3 linked regions of the Nothobranchius furzeri genome follow. The protein of the gene in region 2 interacts with the protein of the main gene of each other region in a biochemical or structural test. Links are inferred from orthologs where the notes say so. Each region holds a gene or a part of one and is shown on either strand. Other genes may lie near its edges. The genes, in order: sytl4, rab27a and sytl1.

Region 1 (5,731 bases), on a different chromosome or scaffold from region 2:
AAGTCACTTCTTGTTGCATTATTGCCACCAACTGGAGTTGAGTGGGACTCTAAATACTATTTATGTGAATATAAAAAATAAATAATATTAATAAATGTTCTGTAGGCCTGGGCTAGAAGATAATGTTAAAGGTGCATGCTACCACACACTATTTTTGGAGTTTACAACTCACGCCTTTTGTCGACAATGTAAAGTCAGTTTAAATTGGAACTTGGTAGGGTGGCACCTGGGGTGGCCAATCAGATTCTAAGGGTGGCATGTGCTACCCCAGGCCACTCCCTGGACACGCCCCTGCCGCTGGAGGATCAGACTGCCAAGGTCCCTGCTTTTGGCTACTACCCTGACACACAATGCACCCAACCCCTTTGGCCCCTCCCACTAGTGGTGAGCTCATGAAAAGGGGGACCCATGTCTCCTCTTTGGGCTGTGCTCGGCCGGGCACCACGGGTAAAAGCCCGACCTCTAGGCGCTCACCAACATGCCCCAACTCCAGGCCTGGCTCCAGACGGGGGCCCCGGTGACCCGTGTCCGGGCTATCACAGAATGTGACCATCTGAATCTCAGTAATAATGCAGATGTCTTTAATTTTCACTAAAGATAATTACAACAAAAGGGTTTTCGTGATGTTTGTGTCATTTTATTTCCCTTTTTATCTCCACCAGTACATATGAGTGGCATTGGAGTGACGGGGGGAAAACGTAGCAACCAGATAATCTAATCAATTTCCCTCTGGGATTAATAAAGTATTTTTGAATTGAATTGAATCTGCACTGGTTTCTAATAAACTGAGGATGTGCATCACAACAATTAATTTCAATAAATGGAAGTTCTGAACATTTTACCTGCAGACCTCGCATGTTGTAAAATCAATGTTTAATGTTAGCAAACATTTCTTGTCAAAGCCCTGGTTATCGCTGCATTTATTGTCCTGTTTGTTTGTAATAAACATTGACAAACGCTCTTTTTAATATCCATGGCCCGCGCCGCACAACTTCCTCAAAGCTTACGTAGTTTACGGTTTTAACGTAGCATCTTCTTTTATGCCAAGTCAGGATGTACAGATGCAATAAAACGCAACACTGACCCCTGGGGTCACAAATTGTGATGGGTCGCAGAATTTGGTGTAACACCTGTTGGCATGGACATAGTTTGGGCGGGGGACACTTTATCTAAAGTCACATTTTGTCCCCTGCACTTTTTACCGTCCAAAAACAACATTACGCTATATTAAATATCACTTGTTGAGCACTAGGACCAAGTGGTAAACAACCGCTTTTGTTGAAGCCTGTTTCCCATTAGAACCATCCATAAGCCTGCCACCTGTGTACTTGACAGTTCTGCATTCCTGACATTGCATAAAAGAGCCTCTAGGCAGTAGTTTTATACATTTTTTTTGTATACTTAATATAAACTTAACTTTAGACTCATCTTGCTTCATCTTGCTAAATGTTCAGTTTAAAATAGCCATTTTTGTTTTTAGAAATCAACACCTGGCCGTAAAAATACATTTAAATTTCATAATTACTCTTTACTTTAAAAATATTTAGGATTTATAAAAATTGAGACAGTTAAGTTTTATTCATATATGTCTATTTTTATTATAAAACGCTAAAAGCTATAAATGTGTTAATGAAATACTTTTGCATTCAGTACTCCATACTTTATGAAAAGAAAGTTGTTTCATTTTAGTCTAAAAGATTCCTTGTTGTTAAAAAAACACCTTCAAGCCAGTTTTCGTCTGAAAGGGGAAACTTTATAAAAGCGCACCTCGCTCGCTGTTCCAGGTGAGGAGGAAAGCAGGGGGAAAGCTGTTTCTGGCACTTTTGGCTAATTATTACTGCAGCGTACTAGTGGGCCAAAATTTCCACATCCAGCGGTTGTAGAGAGCAAAAACAAAACAGGCACTTGTCATGGAAAATAAGGAGGAGAGGAGCTGACTGCTACGAACTTTTCCTTTTCTTCCGGTCTTGTGAGGGGGGGAAAGAAAAGAGAAGTCCAACTCGGTCCGACCAGCGGGAGTCAGTAAAGGCAGCGAGCCAACACGGAGCTCGGTTACGGTTCAGCTCCTGACCGACAACAAGAGTAAGTAAAGTTTCCTGTAGCAACGTGATAGTTTAGTTCCCTGTCTTTTTGTCTAGAGTTGAACTTGTTTATCCTTTTTTTTTTGTTTTTGTGTCAGGAACATATCGCTCTGCTTAGGGGAGTGTGGTCGTCTCCACCAGCAGCAGGTGTGTGTAATCCTTCAAATTTGTCAAATTATGGCAGAGTTGAGTGAAAGTGTTTTATTTTTTTTACTTTCCATTTTAGCGTGACTTTATGGTTGTAAGCAGACTATTATTTTTTATGTGGTTATGCCACTTAGCTGAACGTAATTGATTTGCGTACGTCAACGTTTTTAACCGTTGGAAATGTGAACAGTTAAAACCGTCAGTGGTAAATATACCTCTTTTTAATGAAAACTTCAACCGAAAAGATCGTATTTAAAAATAGGAGTAATTTATTTTAAATATTAAATTTGTTTTTAATCATTTACAACAACCCTGCATAATGCTATCCCGCATTTTAAATAACACGTTCATAACAGATCAAAATAACTTAATTCAAACGCCATTTCCTGGATGTAGAAGTTGTCCTGTAGCGGTTTGTAATTTAAACTCGAGTTAGCTGGCATTCAAACAATGAGGAAAAGGATATCCATTTAATTAAAGCACACAAGTGGTTTAATGCTCCACTCCACCCGCTGTGTCCTTAGGGTGGGAACCCTCCATGCTACATACCCGTGATCATGTTGTTTTAGCCTTCCTTATTCAAAACAACCTTTTACCCTGGCAGAGTCTTCCTGTGGGATTTTTATTTATCCTCATCATTTATCATTTTGGATGGCCTTTGACTTGTCATGTCATGGGAAATCTGTGTGCTGGCTTTATCAAGATGCACAGGCTAATGTTTTTTACCCTAGATGACGTTAATTTTTGTATTTCAAAAGCATGCACCAGAATAAAGATGTAATCTAGTGTGAAGTGAGTCTTGTTCCTTTAGCTTTTCCTCTCTGATCGGCTACATTGAGTTATCCAGGTTTAACCTAATTGTTTTTGCCTACTCAGAGCAGAAATGTTTAGTCAAGTCCTAATGATGATTTCTCTCTCTCTAAGGACCCAGGCTCAATGCAGCATTAACAAGGTTGAGTCAATCCACCTGCCCTGGCGGTTCTGGGTGAAGGCACCATGCCGGAGGCTCTTGATTCGATCAACCTGGGCTTCCTGTCCGACTCCGAGCGTGAGCTGGTCCTGGATGTGCTGCGACGAGACGAGGAGCTCAGGCTGGTTGAAGAACAGCGTGTGCGGTGAGAAGAGTGCTTCCTGTTACTTTGCACAAGAGCCAAAATATGTTAATTAAAAGACAAATTTAACATTTAATCTTGCATAAGTTTCTCTCTAGGCCTGGAATAGTGTCTCTTTCAGTTTTCCCTCAGATATCCAAGTTCAGTTTTAAGTTTGTCACAGTTGAGGATTAAATATTGCCATCCTACAGCAGCAGTGCTCTGTATCTTATTAGCTGTTGTAGTATTTAATATAACCAGGAATTTACTCTAAAACCCAAATTTGTCTTTGTCAGACATGACATGCTTGTCAACCACACACCCCTGGCGCCACTTTAGGTGTATGACTCGCGTTGCTAGGGGAAGCCGCAGCACACCAGTCAAAAGGACGGATAAAAAGAACAACAAACACATCCCTTACAGGGATAAACTAGTTGATATCAATGTAAGTTAGAAGCAGGTACAGAAACATTACAGTCAGAGGTCACACTAGACATCTTTGTCATTTTGACCGACAGAGTTTACAAAACGGTCATGATCGTCATTTTCATTTCTCGGATAATAAATTAAAATAAACAATTTCATTTTCATTCATATTTGGTCCAAACAAGCTGACCAGTGTGTCCAGCAACATATTAATGTTACAATTAAACAATTTCACTTAAATTAGGAACATTTTACCTGCAACATTCTGTTCTTCCTGTTGGCCTGTGACCTACAGACGTGCTCCGAGCTGCTCTTCACAGCTCCTCAGTGCACAGATGGTGAGCTGTGCTGATCATGGTGTCTATGAGATAATGCTCAGATGTTCTGATGGGAATCTTTTCTTGATTAATTTGTTACCTCCGATGTTCTCTGTGCTTAATGTTTAAAATGTCCGCTCACCTACATGTGATTCCTGTCTGTCAGAAAGACCAACAGCCTTGAGATTTTTCATCAAAAAAACAATAAACATAATGGGGAAATATCCGATTAACGCGATGCTTGCCTACATTTAACTTTTACTTTTTTGCGAAGATGGTTGCAAAGCTCTAGAGAAACTAACCCGATTAACATCAAAGCAGAGGTGCACTGCACCATTAACTCCATGACTGTAAATGACAAAAAAAGATCGGATCCTTTTCTTACTTTTTCAACATTATTTATTGTAAAGTTCCATTCGTGTTGTTCGGTACACAGTTTAATGACAAAGATCTGTTCTCTGAACCGTTGAAACATCTTCCACACAAAGACACACCTTAAAAAAGCTGCATGTGCCCAAATACTGGGGATGAGCAAGTACACCACTATCTGTATCTGTATCTGTTCAACTAACTAAATTATCTGTATCTGTACTCGGAATGGGCGGAGCATAACCCGGAAGTGGGCGTGGCTTAACCGGAAGTGGGTGTGGTTTACATCAATATATTATTTTAAGTCTGAAATTGATATGGATTGATCAGAAGTTGATATGTGTATTGTTTATTTGAAAACTATTTACAGAGCAGCCTCAGAATAGATTAAATATTTTTGATCACAATAGAAAAGGAACTATTACAAAACAAGTGTTTCAATAAAATCAGAACATTAATATTTAAGTGCATGGATTAATACATCTGAACTCATGCAGTAGGAACTAGGAAATATGAAATACTATAACCAGACACAACTTTATATATTTTTTTTATTTTAATTTGATTAAACTGATTTTTTTCTTAACGTTCTTGGCATTTTCCCACACAAAGTTAAACAAAACAATGTTGATTGAGGTGTGTGTGTGTGTCTGTGTCTGTGTGTGTGTGTGTGTGTGTGTGTGTGTGAGAGAGAGAGAGAGAGATAGAGAGGGAGAGAGAGGGAGTTAAAAATAAATAAAAAAAAAACCAACCGGAGAGGAGGTAGAGACGCAGCACGTCAGCTCTGTCTTGTCAAATGCACCATGTAAGTTACGAAAAAAGTTACTTTAAATATTCAACCGAAAAAGAGGCGAGCTGAAGCAAATCTAAGGAAAACTGAAGAAACGTGAGCAACAGTGAAGGAATCACAGCGAGATCCATTACTGTCTGTGTGTGTGCGTGGATGAGCCGGACGGACTGCGCTCCCGGCCGGCTAGAGTTTTGTGTGTAGGGAGGGGCGGGCGCTCTATGTGACTGGCCAATCACAGAGCGTGAAGACAGTCTGTTACCCAATGAGGATTTTCCTTCAGCAGGATTACAGATATTTACGGGGTTTACTCGTGTCATGCTCGTATTCGTCAAAAATGCTTTATCCGTACCGGATACTCGTCTGAAACGAGTATCCGGCTCATCCCTACCAAATACTATGGAAAGTAAAACTGAAAATAACATCAAATAAATTTTAGGCACAGATGCTACATCTTATGTTATCAAGATTTTGCTTCTTATAATTGTGACCTGACATGGCAGCCCTTTACAC
Region 2 (5,716 bases):
ACAAAAAGACGCATTTGAAGAGAAGGCAAAGACTTGAAATAAAACTGGAAAGCAGACATAAAAAACCTTATTAAATATTAAAGCCAGTTAACTGTTCTTTTTCTGTTGTGAACATTATTGTAAAAACAAATTCTTATTCATGGATTTAGTATTATGTGTCTAATAGTAATTCAGAAAAGTTTTAAACAGAGTGAGGTGATGAAGCAGTTTGATTAGACAAATTACAAAAGGAGCTTGATTACACTAAAGACTGATCCAAGTGTTCACATAAATAGAATTTATTTATTTTGGACATATAACTTACACATTTTAATATGAAAGCGTGGCACAAGTGACAGCATGCATCATATACTTCAGACTAACCAATATAACATCTATTCTTAATGAAAAATATTCAAATATTTAAATTCATGGACGGAAAATCAGAATACAATTGTGTTTAAAACACTACATCTACTCTTTAACAGGAGAAAAGAGGCAAGCATCAATAAGGCAAAGTCTGCAACCACAGTAGAGCTGCTGCAGGAAAGTGTAAGCGTGTTTAACTTTTAAATCCTGTTAATCCAGTGTTTATGACTTTTGTAAAACATTAGAAAAAGATCAGTAGGACTGACAGTGACAGTAAACTAATATACAGACCCATAGCAACTGGCTTTTTTATAAAGCAACACTTCATCTTCTTAGTTTTCGAAAATAAACCCATTCAGCAACCCGGCACATTTTAAGTAAACAACTATTGAATAATTCACTAATTTGTCATCAAAGTGGTCTTCTAGTAAAGGTAACAAACATCACATCTCAGAGTAAAAGTTCCTTTATCCCTGAAGTCACATTATATCAGCTGATTAATACAAATAGTCATTTTTATGAACCTCCACAACAGTTTCACCTTAAAAATTTTGGCAAGTTTTTATGAACTCTTAAACTAAAGGAGTATTATACTGTATTTAAAGGTTGGACCAGCTGATTGATACGTGAAAAAGACAATCCTGAGAACAGCAAACTTTGTTGAAATTAAACTGGATGCATTCTAGGAAGATATCCACAAAATTAAGTTCTGAAGGATGCAAATGTAACCTATTCAAGTCCTTTTTATAGAAGAATGTTATCTCTGCTATCTGAAATGTCATCATTTGGTCCTCTTCTGTTTTAGTGTGTATTTGATCAGAAGGCAGAAGGGGGTCATTAGAGCTCCCAGACAAAAGGAACTCAGTTTAAAAAATAACGAGAGGCTGTAAATTAATGTTTCAGACTTGAAAGAAAGGATGGAGTTGGTCAAAATATGTACTTTCGGAATTTGAAACAACTAGGCTATTTTTTTTAACATATTTATTTCTGATATCTGAATTTTTTTGTAATGTTAGCAAAAGTGCACTTATAAAAACGTCCCCTAGCAAACTGAATGAACAGTGAGATCTATAGGTCTCCTAGCTCTGGTGAGATTACAGCATGAAATAAGACACTTGGTAAAGAATTAGTGGCACATAAGTGGTGACCTGAAGGTTCCTGAAACTTCACCCATTGAAAAAGTCGGGCGTATCAAACTTAAGCGCTAATTAGCCTGCTGGCTCACTGCTCCATAGAGAACAGTTCAGCATTGATGAAAGAAACCAAATATGTACGGTAGGCATCATAAAAAAATAAATACCTCACACCTAACCAAAATAAACCATCCACAAACCCTTGCCCTGACAAACCTGTAACTTGCTGCTTTGTGGGGCAAATACCACAGATGATGTAGATCAAGACGAGCTTCAAAACAAAACTCCCGTTTTCTTATACTTGGATATTTCTCTTTTTTTCTGCAATACTATGTGAAACCCAATTTACTCTAACATGCGCATCTGCCTCGGTCTGAGCCCTCTGAGAGGTCCAAGTTGGTGGGTCCGTTAGTGTGGACGGTTCCGTCTGGGATCCAGGACTTATCGACACACCGCTCCATCCTCTTCATGATGAGATCCAGCAGGAAGTCCACGGCCTCGTTCACGTTCTGCCCATTCGCAGCACTCGTCTCAAAGTATGGGATTCTGAGTGAGGTCACATGATCAGAAAACACTCTTACAAGTTAACCCGAAACCACAAACCCCCCATAAACACCTCAAAACCCCCAACACATCTACGGCCTTCTCCAACACTTTCAGAACTAAAATCACGAGTATTAACCGCAGAACCTAACCAATGAAAATATTGTTGCTTGAGGTAATTTAACACTTCTTTTTCTTTAGATTGCTGCTGATTACAGGCGTTTCTAACGGCACCAGAACCGGATGTTTCATACATGTAGACAAATATTTGCTCTTCAGGAGGACCAGTCCAGTCTTACTGAGCAGAGTTCTGCAAACAACGCAGCCACTGCCTCTTTCACAAACCTTTCAGGAAGACGTTTAAACATGGATGGATCAAAAACACACGAACATACCCATATTTCTCTGCCAGTTCACGAGCTTCATCTTCACTGACCGCTCTCTGATCCGACAGGTCACATTTGTTGCCACACAGAACCACATCTGGATTTTCACAATAAGCGTGAACCTGTAACTGACCTGAGACACATTATCAGGTGTTCAGTCCTGGCTCTCATCCATCAGCTTTTAGAAGAACAATGACAAGAATTATGAAATATGACCACAGCGGCAGCCGAAGCTCGCGCTACACCTGACTTTGACCAAATGAGGGCTAATCATGTGTCAAACCTTCCGGAGTAATAACATCAGGAGACATACTCATCCAGTTTCTGACGTTGAGGAAACTTTGCTCATTTGACAGATCAAACAGGAGGAGGAAACCCATCGCATCTCGGAAAAAAGCAGTCGTCAAACTTCGAAACCTGACATTCACCAGGAGACAAACCAACAAATTTCAGAATATATTAATAATGTTGGGAAAGATGTAATATAAAATACATTTTATACCTCTCCTGTCCTGCAGTGTCCCACAGCTGCAAGTGGATCTTCTGTCCTTTGCCTGAAGTTCCATCTGGACCTTTTGAATTGTACACCTGAGGTGAAAAATGCTAAACAGGTCAGGTATCTAACTCGATCTGACTGGTTTGGAAACCTGTCAGGATGCAAAGGTATTTGACCGAGTTTTTGCAAAACCTGTAGTCCCCCCGCCCAAGCATTTCGAGATGAGAATATTTACAATTAGGTGCTTCCTTAAATGAACTAAACATATATATATATATTTTTTTTTTTTTATCCCAAACTTTTGGGATCACAGTGTCCTGGAAAACTGAGAATCTACATGTATGATTTTAGAAATTGTATTTTAATATGTATTAATAACAGCAAGGATAAAAAGGCTTCTGAAGGTCTTCCGGGTGATTGTTGATAATTTAACATTTAACTTAGTAAATCACAGCTGCAACATTTGGACATTTGTTCTCACAGCACTTACTCTAATCCTACCAAAGAGCCCATTTTAATTTCTAACATTTAGTGAAGTTATTTCAGTACCAGGATGTCCTCGTGGAGAATGTCAGCAGCATTAAAGCAAGAAGATTGTAAATATGAACTTGAATCAGCTGTTTGCCAATGGTATGAAGTGTTTATTCTTAAGGAGGGTGCTGCCTACCATTAACCAGCTTTAGTCACACCCCGTTTCTGTTGCAACAACCATCAGCAGGCTTTTGTTAAGAGAAAATGATTAATCCTGTGGGAATGCATTTACGGCTGGTTCACAGAGTATCTGGCTAATAAAGAAATCTTCAGTTAGACTGGGTTAACATAAATCCTCACCTTTCTTTTTTCTCTGAAGTCTATTCCCACTGTAGTGATGAACTTGGAGTTAAACTTGCAGTCGGTGTACTGGTACAGAAAGCTGGTTTTCCCCACACCGGAGTCACCCAGGGCTAGGAACTTGATGAGGTAATCATAGTCCCCTTCAGACATGGTGGTTCCTTAGTTTCTGGAAAGGGGACACAAAGAAGACAAGTGAAATTAGAAGATCCATAAAGAACAACCCAGCCCAGCCTCTTGCTTGGAATCCTGACACTTTGATTTTAAAGCTAAACTTAATCACATTCATCCTGTACATGAAGGGATAACCATTTGGCTTGAAGTGGGTGTGTCTCAGAAAAGCCCTGCTTTCTGATTTGTGTAACAGACATTTAGGATTTTTATAAATCACTGTGTTGCATTGCAACAGTGTTAAACAGATGCAGCACGGGAGCTAGTGAAGTTAAGCTGCTTAAAGAAAGCAAAAGTATTTTAGATATAGAGCTGGAATAAAAAGAGCCTGCAGATGAAAGCCCTACGCTCTACCCACAAACGGTTTAAAGGTGCGGATCACTGAAAAACTATTTTTTAATTATTATTTCTGATTATAATCGGTGACTTTGAGCTTTTCATTCAGGCGGAACATGAAAATAGTCTCCTACACCCAAATCCTGCATTATTTTCTGATAGAAAATAGACCGTAAACTCTAGGATTTGAAAACTCTGACATTTAACATTCATGGACTCACTCATCTTGACTGGCAATGGGGAAGGCTGTTGTTTTAACGTCCAGGAAACAGCAGACAACGTCCCAACTAGTAAAAGCTAACCATTAGCACTAGCAATACCACCACACAGAAAAACTTCTCCATGCTTGTGTTATTTGTAGAGATAAATAAATAAATAAATAAATAACTTTCATAATGCAAGATGCATTATCGTTGTGATCCAATCCATGGCAAGGTGTTCAAATATCAGGAAATAAGACTCCAAATCCGGCCTCTATGTGGCAGCAGACTTGTCGGTGCTGACTGGTGCTGACCCAAGAAATTCTGGGCTTTTTTTGCCCCGATTATGGCTTGCAAGGTATTCACTCCTACCAGAAACTACTGCAAATGTTTTGATTAAACAAGTTTACCACACCTTTAACATTTAGGAAGTGCTGCCAAGGAACAAAAGACTTCATGGGGAAGTCTACTTTGCTGTGATGCATCTAAACCTCCAGAAGAGAAAGCCGTTCTCCTACAGCAGCTCCACACATTCAGCTAATCATCATCATCATCGTCATCATCTACGAACTGTAACATGCCCAGCTCTGACAAGTAAAAACAAAACACTAAGTGATGATGAAAAAGGAATTATGTGTGTTTCCCGCACCTCCGCTGGTCTGATGGATTGTGAAACACCACCCCTGCTGTTGCAACAGTATTTTGTAAAAAGTCTTCTTTTTATAAGTAGATTTAATGTTTATTTTATGAAACGGCTCAAGTATATCCTTGAGTATAATATAACAAAACTGTATCTACACTGGGATGTTTCATACACGCTTTAAAGTTTAAAGTGTGTATGAAACATCGCAGTGTAGATACAATTTTGTTTAGTTTTTTCTTAAGCCAAAGATCTACAAGTTTTACTGAATGCAGTTAGAACTTTACTAAAATGTTCTAAGTCTTATGACGCAACTATTTAACTGCTAATTAATTGTATTAAGTCCCACATAAACTGGTTAGAAAAAGTACATTGTTTGATCTATCGGATGTGAAATGCTCATTTGCGACGGTTCGCTAGCTGTGGTCAGTTAGATGGCAGCAGATGTATCACATGATCAGTTCACTGGCTTGATAAGATTTCAGACAATCCTTGCATTCTTTCAGCATGTGCAACACTGAGCCTTTAATCTGACCCAAAAGCAGATTAGTCTTTTGCAAAATCAAGATGCATGATAAATGTGTTGTGATGGAAATGACTGCAGGGAGAACTGATTTGGCCATAAATGGTAA
Region 3 (5,731 bases), on a different chromosome or scaffold from region 2:
CCCTAGGACCATTTAAACTATTAGCCCCAAGCCATGCTTTCACTGAGGATTACGAAATTTGGTACACTAATGTGGTGTCCCAGGACCTACAAAAAAGTCTCTTGGAGCCAAGCACAAAATTGCACAGGAAGTCGGCCATTTTGGTCCAAGTACGCGATTTAGTGGTTTTCGCACACGTTGTTTGGAGAGTGATGCTCCTTCGCCCTTTTCACCAATCGCCTTCAAACTTCTGCTATATACTCTTAAGGCATAGGGGAAAAAAGTCAACCGTCGGATTTTTCAAAAGTTGAAAGGTGTAGGCGTGGCTAAGCCTCAAACTTTGACCTTTCGCCACGCCACTCTTTTTTTCACAGCTCCCTATTGGACTCCTTTTACCCAATCACCTGGAATATCTTGTAAATAGCAGCTGACAAGTTGAGGTCACTTGGTCTACAGTACTGGCAGGTTTTGAAAAAAAGGCGGGGCTTTGGGAGCATGGCGAAATTCTCCATCACGCCATGGCAATACGTTTGCCTCTCATTTCTTCAATTATCGTGACATCGCCACAAAATGTCTGGTGAGTGATCCTAGTCTGACCCCCAATAGAAATGGGCATCTGAGATTTGTGGGCGTGGCCTATATTCTGAAATAGCGCCCCCTAGGACCATTAAAACTGTCAGCCCCAAGACAAGGTTTGACTGAGGATTACGAAAATTGGTACACTCATGTAGGGTCTCCGGACCTACAAAAAAGTATCTTGGAGCCAAGCGCAATTTCGCACAGGAGGTCGGCCATTTTGGTCCAAGTTCTCGATTTAGTGGTTTTCGCACACGTTGTTTGGACATTGATGGCCCGTTGCCCTTTACATCGATCACCTTCAAACTTATGCTATGTACTTTTAAGTCAAAGGGGAAAAAATTCAACCGTCGGATTTTAAATAAGTATAAAGGTGTGGGCGTGGCTAAGCCTCAAAGTTTGACCTTTCGCCATGACATTACTTGACTTAATAACTCCCATGTGCATGATCAGATCTAATTCAAACTTTGTCTGTGTGATCACTGACCACATCTCAAGACAACGACAATGTGGACAGCTGACATCACCTAAGCCCCGCCCCCTGACAACAGGAAGTCTATTGTTTTATGGTGAAATGCCCATATTTGTCCCCTCTAATTTAGTGAAAATGACACTCAGGTCATACAGTGTCTTCATGATGTTTTAAAGACCATTCAGATCTGATAGCTTTCCAGAAAGGGAGGGGCTTTGATGCCATGGTGAATGCTGGCGTGACGCCATGACCTTACATTTGACTGTAACTTCCACAAACGGCCTCCGATTTGCCCGAAACTGAATATGGCAATGAACAATCATGCCCTTTAGCCAATGAGGCACAAACGGTTGGTGAATGTTATATAATGTCACCAAAGCTGACCTCAATGGGACTTTTCTGTAGTTGGTCACAGCGCCACCTAGATAACGTTATCCTTCGATAACTTTAAAAAACATGGTCAGAATAGCATTAAAGTTGGTCACTGTCATCACACCACCAGTGTGGTAAAGATAGAGGATTCCCTAGTGGTGAGACATAAAATATAATGGTGGGCTCAAAGGGGATGCTGAGTCAGGGTGAGTTGCGGACAAGGTGGCCGTTAGCAGTTTCTGGTGTTGGGGTGGTCGACGTTTGTTTTCTGCGGACGTGCCCTGGTGCCCCGGGCTGCCGGCCAGGCAGGAGCGGTGCAGAGCTGCGAGGGCCGAACGACGCTGCTTGCAGCTTTAATTATTTCTTGTTATTTAAAGGTGTTATAGACAGACTCTTGCTTGAATGTCCCACGTGCCAGATTGTGGTCCAAATCCCTTACTTTGAAGCAACTTCTGCATGCGAACAACTTGTGTGTGTGTGTGTGTGTGTGTGTGTGTGTGTGTGTGTGTGTGTGTGTGTGTGTGTGTGTTTGCTCTCAGGCTCTCCCCTGAGCAGAGGGTGTGTTCACTCCGTTTACTCAACACACACTCCATACACACTTCATACATGCGCGCGCGCGCGCTCTCTGGACAACTTTTCCTCGACTCCTCACAGATGGAAGCGACGGAAGACGTCAAGTAAAGGTACTCCCACCGTGTTTTTGTCCGTTTTGACAAGAGGTCAAAGAGTTAAATAAATGCTAGAGACAGGTGTTTTCTCTCACGCGCTGATTAGGACCAGACAAGAGCCGCGCGAGCCCGTTTTCCACCGATAGAAACACGTTTAAAGCGGGCTAGTCTAAAACAAATACAAATAATTAACTCGACTTAAAGCGGTTATGGATTTAAGAACGATGATAAGTGAAACAAACATTCGAGCAGGAAACGATGTTGTAGTGAACTCAAACAGGTTTTGTTTGTTTTTCGTGGAAAAACTGCGGTTAACTTGTTAAGTTTGCTAAGCAAACCCCGTTGCGCATGCGCGAGCTTAAAGTAAAAAAAGCAGTTCTTAACCACAAATAAACCTTTTTTCTTTACGCAGCAGAGTGCTTACTGGTGCGTGAGAAGGCTTCTAAGTCTACGTTAAACTTTTTAAAATTAAGTGTATAACTGAAGCAAGCAGAGTAATGTTTACTATATGACAAAAAAGTTAATTAGGCCAACAACGTTCTGTAAATAATCAATAATGACTGAAAACTTCCTGCTTTTAAACACAAACCTTTAAAATAAAGGCTATTTTAATATTTGTAGGATTTAATTTGGATTTCAGCTCACTAAATACTCAAAAATGATTGACAGCTCTCTGGATTCGTGCAGATTCGCACTAAAAACTATTTGGATCAGAAGTGGAATGAATCGGTGTATTTTGTAGAGACAGTGTTGTTTCCTCGCCCACTCCTGGACTCTTGAATTAATTATGTTCCATAATTTTTGTAATTGACGGACGTTTAAATCTTTGTGACTTTGTGGCTAATCTTTATTTTCTGTAGTGTTTAGCCCCACATTGGTTTGTATAGATTATATTTCTTTGTGCTCTGAATGAATGATATTTTGTTTAATATTTGGAATAGTTTTCCCACTTATAGGCCATTCTTCATGTTTTTGAAGCACTTTTTTTCTGTGCATTCTCATTTATCTCACAACAAGTGTGTCTCTCTATTTCTCTAACAGATCCCTTCTGCTAAAGTGCCTTGCTAAATAATATGATTAAACATTGAAGCATTTGTATTTGAGGATAAAAGCATTCATCTTCTACAGGAATGGCAGGGAAGCAAGTTGACTCGTCTCTTGACCTGAGCCACCTGACGGAGGAGGAGCAGTCCTCCATCTTGCAGGTCTTACAGCGTGACCTGGAGTTGCGTCATCTCGATGAAGGTCGTATAAGGTCAGGCGTGGTTCTCCCCGGGGAGAATGTTCAACAAGTAAACGGATGTGAAACACAAAATGTCTGAGTCAAGAAAAGGACTGGTGGTAATTTCATGGTTCCGTCAACAACAGGAAGTGGTCCTGAAGCTGCCCCAGACATCACTCTGCCTCCTCCATGTTTGACTGTTGCTACAGTGTTTCAGTGTTAGTTTTACTATTGATGGAATGGGATGCATTTCTTCTAGAAAATTCCGCTTTTGTCCCACCAGACAACAGAACATGTACCTAGAGGTCTTTGGGGTAAATGTGAGACGGGTCTTTAGGCCCGTTTCCCCCATCAGAACTTCCGGGTAATTTTACCAGACCTTGCTGACATTCCCGTTTCTCAGTTTCACTGAACCGGCCCCAAAAAGGACCATCCTTAAGGTCATTTCAGGGACCAACTGAGTATCCGACCAGGAAATTGTCCAGTTAGAGGTTGAGGGCGGGACTTGAGATTAGCTCATTCTGATTGGTTGTACCAAGTTGTACGATTGTGCTTTTTTAACCAGCGTCGATTGGCCAGAATTAAGCCCCTGCTGTCCAGAGCACGTCTAGAGTCTGTCACCCATGCTTTTATTCTTTCAAGGCTTGGCTACTGTATGCCGGCCTGAGTCAGGGCGCAGTAGCACGCCCTTCAGCTAGTACAAAACTCAGCAGCTAGGTTTGTGACAGCGACTAGGCGCAGGGACTATGTCAGCCTTGTGTTGGCATCCCTTCACTGGCTGCCAATGCAGTATGGGGCAAAATTTAAGGTCTTGGTACTGATATACAAGGCCCTACAAGGAACGGCGCTAGCATATCTTGTCAGCCTTTAGCATAAACACGCTCCTTTGCGGGCCCTGCGCTTGGCCGATGGGGAGCTGTTGATGGTTCCGTGGTCCAAGAGCGGGTCACGGGGAACCATGTGTTTTCGGTGTTGCTCCTACACTTTGAAACCAGTTTCCTTTGGTGGTGCGTCAGTCACCTTCATTGATGGCTTTTAAGACTCGCCTGAAGACCCACTTTTATGTAGAGGCTTTCCAGGATTAGCATTTTTTACTTGGTTTCGTTGCCCTGGCCTCTTATTCTTTTTGAACATTTAATCTTCTCTCTTTTACAGTTTTTATGTTGGTTTTATGATTGTTACATTTTATTTGATGGTTTTATGTTTTATTTGTGTTGTGTTCAGCACCTTGGGGGGTCTGCGTCGGCCGTGAGTTCGGGTTAGGAAGGGGCTTTATAAACAAATAAATGAAATGACAATGAAATGATTTCCTGAAATTTGGATATTTCACCTCTGATTGGCTAACAGCAGCGTGACTTTACCACTGATTGTTTGCTCTGCAACGTCGATGTTTTACCTCCACAAATAACACAAGCCTGGACGAGTTTTGCCGTGTGGTGGAGTTGCTAATGCTAACGTTTAGCTTCTACTAGCCGAGACGTTCTCTGCTGTTTCCTGGACGCTAAACCAACAACAGCCTTCTCTTTCCTGAATCAAGATGGGTGAGTCCATGAATGACAAGTGTGACGTAGATCTGTCGGGGTTTGCTAATCCTAGAGTCTATTTTCTATCAGAGGCTAATGCAGGAGATAGGTGTAGGAGACTATTTTCTTGTTCAGCTTGCATGAAAAATTCACAGTGACTGATTATAATCAGAAATAGTCATTAAAAATGGTTTTTCAGTGTTTCACATCTTCAAACTTCAGAACAAATAGAAAAAATGTTTATTTTCATATTTTGTCTTGCACACACTTGTTAGGTTTTCATTGCATCAGCTCCTGTTTCTGATGTATTCCAACATCATTCCTAACATCAATAAAGAAGCATGTGACAGTTTGCTGATAATCTCGGCCCCCCCTTCCATTCTGCAGGATCCTCGGTCAGTCAGAAACCGATCACGCTCGCCTGCGCCTCCTCTCTGGAGAATGGTTCAGCGAGGTTTGCAGCAAACGGCATCAAAAGTGGACTTCAGCCTGTGACCTCATCCGGGCCAGCATACGCCACAGGAAGACGAAGATCAGAGGTGAGTTTTCGCTTAATCTAATCCTATAATTTCCCCATGGGGGCCTTTTTTCTGCTTATGCAGGGAGATCGGTGACAGTTCTCTGCTTGTTGCCGTGGTAACAGATGTGAACCTGAATGAACTGTTTAACGGAGAGGGAGAGAAAACTTCTGCGAGCAGCATCTCTCCCAAGGCTGAGGAAAGACCGAATAACGAGAGGTTAGTAGAAGCATCTGTAGGAATAAAAACTCGTACTTGAATAAGAAAAAATTCCCAATTTCTGATTTGATTTTCCAGGATTCAGGAACATCTGAATGCTGAAACCACAAGAAACCCTGTAGATCAGGTACGTGAGTGTAAATTAGATTATTTCATTTTGATTTAGTAATAAATGTAAATAA

What was found.
Region 1: the proteins of rab27a (region 2) and sytl4 form a complex in vitro, tested with the Homo sapiens proteins (2 studies listed by BioGRID). The link is inferred for Nothobranchius furzeri from reciprocal best matches to the Homo sapiens genes RAB27A and SYTL4.
Region 3: the proteins of rab27a (region 2) and sytl1 form a complex in vitro, tested with the Homo sapiens proteins (3 studies listed by BioGRID). The link is inferred for Nothobranchius furzeri from reciprocal best matches to the Homo sapiens genes RAB27A and SYTL1.

What each region holds. Positions count from the first base shown.
Region 1 is NC_091741.1:84,920,499-84,926,229, forward strand, and holds the start of sytl4 (synaptotagmin-like protein 4), read left to right. Parts: upstream 1-1,909; 5' UTR 1,910-2,082; intron 2,083-2,179; 5' UTR 2,180-2,228; intron 2,229-3,152; 5' UTR 3,153-3,224; coding exon 3,225-3,343; intron 3,344-5,731. UniProt on the Homo sapiens protein: Modulates exocytosis of dense-core granules and secretion of hormones in the pancreas and the pituitary. Interacts with vesicles containing negatively charged phospholipids in a Ca(2+)-independent manner.
Region 2 is NC_091749.1:60,094,447-60,100,162, reverse strand, and holds rab27a (ras-related protein Rab-27A), read right to left. Parts: upstream 3,891-5,716; coding exon 3,738-3,890; intron 2,999-3,737; coding exon 2,913-2,998; intron 2,828-2,912; coding exon 2,724-2,827; intron 2,544-2,723; coding exon 2,420-2,543; intron 2,028-2,419; coding exon 1,832-2,027; 3' UTR 1,329-1,831; downstream 1-1,328. UniProt on the Homo sapiens protein: Small GTPase which cycles between active GTP-bound and inactive GDP-bound states. In its active state, binds to a variety of effector proteins to regulate homeostasis of late endocytic pathway, including endosomal positioning, maturation and secretion.
Region 3 is NC_091759.1:21,251,959-21,257,689, forward strand, and holds the start of sytl1 (synaptotagmin-like protein 1), read left to right. Parts: upstream 1-1,924; 5' UTR 1,925-2,082; intron 2,083-3,195; 5' UTR 3,196-3,197; coding exon 3,198-3,322; intron 3,323-5,199; coding exon 5,200-5,351; intron 5,352-5,455; coding exon 5,456-5,549; intron 5,550-5,627; coding exon 5,628-5,676; intron 5,677-5,731.